Linked DNA regions of Mytilus edulis. The protein of the gene in region 1 interacts with the protein of each later gene in a biochemical or structural test. Links are inferred from orthologs where the notes say so. Each region holds a gene or a part of one and is shown on either strand. Other genes may lie near its edges.

What was found. The genes of interacting proteins can lie anywhere in the genome.
Region 2: the proteins of ubiquitin-like modifier-activating enzyme 6 (region 1) and ubiquitin-conjugating enzyme E2 T-like form a complex in vitro, tested with the Homo sapiens proteins (2 studies listed by BioGRID, with this or other methods). The link is inferred for Mytilus edulis from reciprocal best matches to the Homo sapiens genes UBA6 and UBE2T.

What each region holds. Positions count from the first base shown.
Region 1 is NC_092347.1:10,919,856-10,924,362, reverse strand, and holds the start of ubiquitin-like modifier-activating enzyme 6, read left to right. Parts: upstream 1-1,612; 5' UTR 1,613-1,723; intron 1,724-4,507. UniProt on the Homo sapiens protein: Activates ubiquitin by first adenylating its C-terminal glycine residue with ATP, and thereafter linking this residue to the side chain of a cysteine residue in E1, yielding a ubiquitin-E1 thioester and free AMP.
Region 2 is NC_092350.1:70,529,655-70,534,161, reverse strand, and holds the start of ubiquitin-conjugating enzyme E2 T-like, read left to right. Parts: upstream 1-1,648; 5' UTR 1,649-1,715; coding exon 1,716-1,824; intron 1,825-4,507. UniProt on the Homo sapiens protein: Accepts ubiquitin from the E1 complex and catalyzes its covalent attachment to other proteins. Catalyzes monoubiquitination. Involved in mitomycin-C (MMC)-induced DNA repair.

The DNA.
Region 1 (4,507 bases):
CTCATTGAATTTATTCTCATATTTTGTTGAATTTGCAACTTACAGTTTAGTTATAGAGTGTTCATATTTGAATAGTATTTATTAAATAACTGATAATTTAAATAATTGTACGGGGCTTGTTTTCATAAGCCATTTGGTTGATAAAACGACCTCTTATTTTAGCTTTTTAGTAAGAGCTTACTGGTGTTGCACACCTCGATGTCTAACTGGTCTTGCACAGACCTCAGTCACTATTTACACGAAAGGTCTGGCACAGACTTCATTGTCTAGATGGTCTTGCACAGACCTTGCTCACTGTGTACACGAAAGGTGTTGTCAACACGAAAGGTGTAATGCATTTCACAGTATCTAGACACAATGTCGCTGTTGTGTCTAGAATTATAATGCATTTAGCTAGACAAAGGTTAAAATGACAGATTAAGCTATGTCACTTTTAAACTGTATGTGAATTTTAACTTGTTGTTCATATTCATGTTTCATGTTTTATCTTTACAAATTGTTGATATTTGTGGAATTATATGTAATTTGCTAATAAACTATGAAAACTTGCTAGTGTTAAGTTTTGCAAAGCCAAATATGAAGGATCAGAGACTCAGGATTCCTATACCTACTCTTTACACGGTCTGGGGTAAAAATATGTTAAAGTTGACACAGAAAATACACAACGTAAAAACCCCTCCGGTTACACAAGTTTGCATTGGTACGAGTTTTTTTTTAGTGGTACGAGTTGACGTTGGTACGAGTTTACAATGGTACGGGATAACTATAATTCAAATGTCGCTATTGGTTATCAATGCACATGAGTCATGATGCACAGTAAAACTGAAGGACCTTTGAGAATAGTCACACAATATCTGTTTTCAAACTAAAACGTATAATTAATATAGTGTATTTGTAAAGCATGTCTATTTGTAATTATAAACATGTCAATGAAAACCAAACGGATGTACATATGCATAATTTCTTCAGTGGTTTTTATGTTTATAATTTGTGACAGTCTGATTTTTACAGTACTTCAACTTCGTTTTGACTTCAGTGTTGCAGCTCTGGTGCTTTAAAACAAGAATTCGCTAACAATTAATTGTAATTACCATTTTCATACTATATTCTCTGTTATTATTGTCCTTTTATTCTCGATGATGTCATGGTCAGCAGCGAAATGACAATTCAAGAAAAGATAATCTATTATTGATTTTATAATGTCAACTTCCGGTTTAATATTGAGAGGCTCAAGAAGGGTTATTATTTGATCTATTAGATCTACCAGGTATTAAGTTGAAGTATTTCATGTCGAATAACCTTTTATGAATATGAGTAACTATAAATGTTCATTGGGTTTATTTTCTGTTACATGAATAATAAGGAAATAATAATAAAAATCGTTTATGCAATTTACTAATACCTGAGGATTTTTTTTAATTCTGGCTTTTGTGCTTGTCTATACAATTTTACTATATGTCTGCAACTACTTAACATAGTTTTAAAATTATTCGTTTCTTTCGTTAAACTATTCAAGAAATTTGAAATAGGGCCTTTGAGTCCTTTGAAATAATTATGAGTTTTTTTACGAGATATCAGAGCCAAGTTCGGGATGACAATATTTATATTTTTTAATTTTCCGCTGGGCTTTCACAACTTCCGGTTAATCTGGAGTGATTTCCCTTTGGAAATGTTTTTTATTTTGCAGTTTCTAGCTCTTTGTTTCTGATACAAGCTGCATAATGTAAGCATATTGACAGTTATACACTTCAATCAAGTATTTTTGTTATGAAGATGAAGGTTGAGTCCCTTTTTCATGACTAATAACATATTCAAAATATTTGGTTTGTGCTATTAAAAATTTCTAGCTTTTTGGGTCCAAATTATAAAAACAACTATTTTTTGTTATCATCTCCTATTATATATGTAAGTTCGTGGTCTAGTTATTTAGACTGATGTGTACAGTGCTGAAGGTTCTGAGTTTGTCTAGGGTGTTAAAATATCAGTACAACAGTGGTGATTTTAACCCTCTGACACATATCTCTGTCTCTGGTACCCAGACCGTAGTAAAATCTAGAATAGGTAATTAGGAGGCCTTAGTTGGTCAAAGTTTCTCTGGAATTTGATCTGGAGATCAATCTGCGGATATCTTTTCGGTACTGTTTTCTGCCATGCAGCCCGGTGGTACTTACAGAGTTCTTCGGCTTTCTCCACCATAATAACAGATTCTGCCCTGTGTCCAAACACTCCCTCATGTTTGGGTGGGAATTGTCTTTGTAAATATTGTTGTAAACATGTTAGTGACACATCTTCATTTATCCCGATAGGGAGTGAACACAGATTCCACTGTGCCTACATGTATGCAGCTCTCAAGGGGTGCTCCTTAAACCGAGGGATCTACATACACACAGTACCATTCAAACGGATCGATTCGATTTCCGAGTTTTTTGAAGCCACACAGAGTACCGCGGATTTCACTCCCTAATTCCTGCAAAGATTCTCTCCCAACTCCGCGTGGCTGTTAATTGGTTTATTGCCCATCGGATGTACTAAAAATTAACAAGGCGTAACAACATAATTGGATTAGCCAGATAATTTACCTATGTACATTTTGTACATTTAATCGATCTTGATTGCACAGGTGTGCTATAAAATCACGGTATTAAAATTTTTTAACAAATGTTTTCCTTCCTTTGTCAGATAAAGATGTGAAATTATAATTTAGAATAAAATAATTATTATCTTACAGGTTTTTGTCCCATGTCATTATCTTTGAAATAATTTTACCAAAAAAAAAATGAAGAAATTTATTTAAACTCAATTTATTGAGCAATGTAAAATATTATGTTTCACCACCTCGATACATTTATACAGACTTGAATAATTAAAATTAAGAAAAGAAACTGTAAAGTGACAACTCTGTTGAACAATTGGAATAACTTCAAGTGATTTTGCTAGTGTTCGTCATTTTCGTATTTTACGAAACGGTTTTCAAATTGACGAAAGTATTTTATATCAATTGCGTCATTTAAGTTTTGAAAATGTAAAAATATATCGCATTAAATTACTATAATTTTACCTGCCTTCATGTTTTTGACAAGTTTATGACACTCAGCCATTGAACGTTTACAAAAGATGTTAAAAGTTGTGATAAGTAATCTGCTTATCGCCATCCGATAGGTCACTAATCCTTTAAATATTATTAAACCTCAATTGCCCATCATAATATTCTGTTCCATATGAGCGTCACTGATGAGTCTTATGTAGACGAAACACGCGTCTGGCGTACTAAATTATAATCCTGGTACCTTTGGTAACTATTCCAGTTAAATCAGTCAGCGTTTCATTTTCAAAATTTCTAAATTGCCCACAGTTGGCAGTTTTTTATCATATTTTTGTCATTTGATCACAATTGATTCCCCCGTTCAATATCTCATCATAATTTCAATTTTTCATCAACCATAAATTTATATTATTGACCATGGACGTATAACTAATGTTCAGGTCTATGTCCTGTTTTGACCGATAATATAAAAAATTAAATAGCTAAAGAAGATGTGTTTTTGTTTATTCGGAAAAGAATTATATTTTAGATTAGATACATTTTGTGTAGTTAATCAATTGTTAAAGGACCTTGTGGAGCCTCAATAGAAACGCACAAAAATGTCTTTCTGCAACTTTTAAACCTGAATGAATTTTCCCACGGTCGTCCAGAAAGATCACCTGAGTTTACTGGTACGTGATATTATTTGCCGCCCTTTAAAAATCTTGTGCTGCGGATAAAACCAATGTTAACTATTGTTATACGTCTGCAAAATTGAAAATTTTTTGGTCGTATATTGGTATCAAGTTGGCGCCATCGTCTGTAGTCGTCGTCGTAGTCGGATGACATTTGGTTTTCGCACTCTAACTTTATTAAAAGTAAATAGAAATCTATGAAATTTTGACACAAGGTTTATGACCATAAAAGGAAGGTTGGGATTGATTTTGGGTGTTTTGGTCCCGACAGTTTAGGAATTAGGGGACAAAAAGGGCCCAAGTAAGCATTTTTTTTGGTTTTCGAACAATAACTTTAGTATAAGTAAACAGAAATCTATGAAGTTTAAAATTATGTCTATAACCACAAAAGGAAGGTTGGGATTGATTTTGGGAGTTTTGGTCCCAACAGTATAGGAATTGGGGGCCAAAAACAGGTCCCAAATAAGCATTTTCTTGTTTTTTGCACAATAACTTTATTAGAAATCTAATTATTCTGATTTAGGGAGTTTTGGTCCCAACAAATTAGAGGCCAAAAGGGTCCAAAATTAAACTTTGTTTGATTTCATCAAAAAATGAATTATTGGGGTTCTTTGATATGCCAAATCTAACCGTGTATTCAGATTCTTAATTTTTGGTCCTGTTTTCAAATTGGTCTACATTAAGGTTCAAAGGGTCCAAAATTAAACTTAGCTTGATTTAAACAAAAATTGAATTCTTTGGGTTCTTTGATATGCTGAATCTAAACATGTACTTAGATTTGTGATTATGG
Region 2 (4,507 bases), on another chromosome or scaffold:
CTACATAAGCATACAATGAAAGTCTGCATTGGCCATGTTGGCATAGGTAGGGTTTCTGAATAGATCTAAAACCCAGATAATTAGGAGCAGACATAGAAAATAATGGACAAAAACTAAAGTATAGTTAAAAATGACCCCCCCCCCCCCCAATTAAAAAAAGAAAAAGAGTCTGAAACTGCAGTGGACATGTTGAACAAAAAGTAGTGGCTATTTTGCCGGTTCCCGCAATGTAGCATCTAAGGTACTATTTAACCGGCTGCGACAAAAATAGCATCCTTAGGACTGTTTTTCCCGCTCGGGTTAAATAGTGATTTATATTAGAGTTTTGCTATTTTGCCGGTTTTCAAGTAAGATTTTTAGTATATAATTTAAGAATAGAAAAAAATGCAGTTTCAAAGAAAAAAACTATTAAAAAAAAATATGCCAATCATTTTTTCCAAGGACCATTAGAGACTGGAACCAACTGCCAACATCCGCAACATCAGCTGACACAGTTGATGGATTCAGAGCTGTCCTGAAGGCATGCTCTGCTAACATTTAGACAGTAACATCCTGTACATAGTTTTAATTGTATATATATAGACAGTGGCGGATCCAGAACTTTTCCTAAGGGGGGCCCGCTGACTGACCTAAGGGGGGCCCCACTCCAGTCATGCTTCAATGATTCCCTATATAATCAACCAAATTTTTCCCACAAAAGGGGGGGGGGCCGGGCCCCCAGCCCCCCTGGTTCCGCCTATGATAGAGAACGTTTTATCCTGTAAATAGCCAAGAGAAAACTTTCTGTGTTGTCCGACATTGCTTTAGTTTTCGCGGGACCTCATACATTCAAGATTTGAATTCGGTTCCTTACCTGGAAGAAGAAGAAGAAGATGCCTTTCATTGAAAAGTTTTACCTAAGGAAAGCCTGCATGCATATTTTTTTTACAATTAAGTCTCTAACAAATCATGTCTTCTTTTAAAAAAAATTAATACACGTTAAGCAAACCATGCATATTAAAATCGACATTTTTGCTATAGGCCTACGTACATTTCAATCAAAATATCCTATAAGTTTTTAAATCAAAAGTAACATCCAACCACCTTCAAATACTTTACAAGTGTTACAAACCAGTGCTTTTCTTTTTGTGTTTTTGTTTTGTCTTGCAAAATAATTTAATATTTATAGAGGAATGGAGTTACAAAATATCAACCTGTAAACACTGAACACAAAGAAAAGATAATTTACTAAAAAACATCACTAGGTTTACCACTCGGCCTAGGTTTGTCTAAACATGAATTTGCAACCATTTAATGGTTTCTACGTGTTCCTCCTTAATTTAACACCAGACTGTATCAACATGTCATCTGACTTTAGTTGCAATCAAAATTTGAGTTCTGACTTCATATCATGAGTCTGAAGAAAAATCTGAAATACTTGAAGATCCTTGAAGGCTGGCAAAAAAACATGTCTATATAAATCACTTATTTGCGGGAGCAGTGATATAGCAGAAAGGAGTATATTTTTTAGCGATTCACAAGACGATTATGTTATTTAGTTAATTGATCAGTGAAATTGTGTTGATCATGGTACGAAAGGTTGTAGGATAGAAGGTACGAAATGACCATCGTCTTGCTCCGCATTTGTTTCCAATTTTAGTCAAATACAACTTCCGGTTAAAAAAATTGCGGGTTGTTTGATTTTTACCAAAATTTAAGAAACATTGATCAGCAATATGCAAAGATCAGGAAGAATGAAAAAGGAACTAGAAATGTTATCTAAATCTCCACCATATGGAATATCCTGTTGGTCCAAGGATGAACGGATAGATCTGTTACAAGCGCGTAATTCACAATTTTCAAATAATTCATGTATGCAAACTGTGGAAAAAAGGGTATCTTATGGTTAAAATCTGCAAATGTTTCAACTGATTTTTATGTTTTATTCTGATGTTATGTATGTCACTGTCAGTATGTTTGTGATAAGTTGTAAAGTTTAACAGTCAGGGGTGGTACTTTAACAAGCATACATGTATAAGCATGATAAGGCACAAAATGTGCACCATAATTAATAACAGAATAACACTTGTAATGACCGAATACCACTTGAAATTTTAATATTATCACATATTGATGACTTTTAAACATTGATTATTAAATAATTGTATACCATCGCTGTATTTTATCATTTTATAGCTATAAAATGATTTACAGGAGTAGTAAAGTAAAGTAATCTTTATTTAAAATCGGGTTGCATATATACATAATAACAAAGAACATGAGCTCTTAAGAGCTCTTTAACCGACTGATATTAATAAACAAAACATACATGTAATAACATCAGATACACATACAACACAAACATACAGACATCACAAACATACAGACATCACATATATATACATATTAATACATAGATAGCACATGCAGAATAAAAGCTAAGCAAGATATATTAAAACAAATGTCTAATATCAGCACATATATAGTAGCACATAGTATTTATATAAGAGTAGCACATGCAAACTTAAACACTTTAAGCACAAACAAAAAAACAGGATGAGTTCATACAGAACTTTTACAATTTAGTGGTGACCACGGAAAACACAATGGCCGCCATGTTGGATGTACACACTATATTTTAAACGATCTTTATAAATTCAATTTCTTTCTTGAAATCATTTTTAAGTTATAAAATACATCGATAATGTATTATAATTTAATAATCAATGTTTGAAAGTCACCAATATCTGCTTATATTTAAATTTCAAGTGTTATCAGTCAGGGGACTTACTTACATGTAAACAAGTCCCCCATAAAAATCAAATGGTAGCTCCCTTACTTGTCCAAATGAAATTATTACTTGTCCAATTTTTTTATTTAAAAATAACCTTTTTACACCTTAAGTTGAATAAAGGGACAAAACGACAATAAACAATAGAATAGCATTTGATGTATTTCTTTTGAAATACTTTGCAAAACTATGAGTCAAGTACAACTGAATCTAGTCATGTCACAGGACTTAGGTTCTACTTTTTATCAATGCAAGTCTCATCAGACTCTGCACATGAGGCACAATCTGATAGGCCTGTGCACTCATTGAATTTGTATCCTGTTTTTTTTAAGTTGAAAAAAATTTATTCAAACATGTTAAATGCCATCAATAAAAAGAAGATAAGGTCTGATTGCCAATGAGAAAACTCTCTGCAAGAGACCAAATGACACAGAAATTTACAACTATAGGTCACTATATTGAACGTATTGTTTTTTCTACTTATGATCAAATATGATTTTTTGAATTTTATGGTGAAAAAAAATACGGGTATGGTATGTATTATAAGGAACAGAATAAGGTAGCCAAATGAGGTACTGATTTGTCTTGGTTTCGAAATGTCTCCTGTCTTTGCCAAACTGTCTATCAATCATGTCCTACGGAGCCAAACTGTCTACTAAACTTGGAGCTAACGTAAAACCTGTCGAGGTGACAAACTGCCCTGTAAAGTTACCTTATCTACAAAGCACATCATTGATTCGGATCAGTAAGACTGGTTTCAAAGAATAGTATACCATTTACCTTTGAAAATATACCTGACAAAGAACCAGTTAAAAATTATTGATTGCAAGTTAGAAAACATGTTGAAGAAAATGGTTTTGCATTTGAATAAACACAATACAGAAACATGTCAAATTATTATTTGTTTTCTTGTTTTTTGTTAATAAAAATTTTACTTTGTTCATCAAAGTTGGATTATTAAAATTTATTTTCTGCAGAATAATTGAACTTGTCCCGACGGACAAGCTTGGTACAGCTTTTACTTGTCCAACCTTTTTTTCCCTCTGGTACCGGACAATCGGACAAGCGTTATTGTCGAGGCCTGGAAAGGCTATTATATTTTTTTTCTTTGACGCCTTACGTCTATGGCATGTACATTGTATGTAAGGTGTCAAAGCAAAAAAATATAATAGCCTTTCAAGACGAATAATTATTTTGACTAGATTTTGGCTGTGAAATATTTAATATTTTCACAGACTTTTCAAAATCACTGAAACTAAGTAATTTGAGAAGTTAAAATTTCATTTATAAAAATTCCATCACTTCTAATCAGCTTTCCAATTGTGAACTTTCCATTTCTAAGTAGCAACATTCCAGCAGCACCTGCATACGGGGTACAATGTATATATCTCCCAATTGATACGATACTCCCGTGCTTGCATTTCCTATCATGATTTTCTTGATAGAGGGTTACTGCTCACATGGAAGCTATTAAACCAAGAGTTCCAAATAGTGAAGTTGAAGTCATCCCTTCGTAAATTTTACGGACGCCATCACGAGTTGGTTGACCGTTATGAAATAACCGTTTCACAAATGATATCGGATATGTTCCTTGCGTCGTAACTACAATCCCCTTCCCTTTCATGAATGTGACCTACCGAATTAGACTTTTTACCGGATTTGTAATCACATAAGCAACTCGACGGGTGCCACATGTGGAGCAGGATCTGCTTACCCTTCTGGAGCACCTGAGATCAC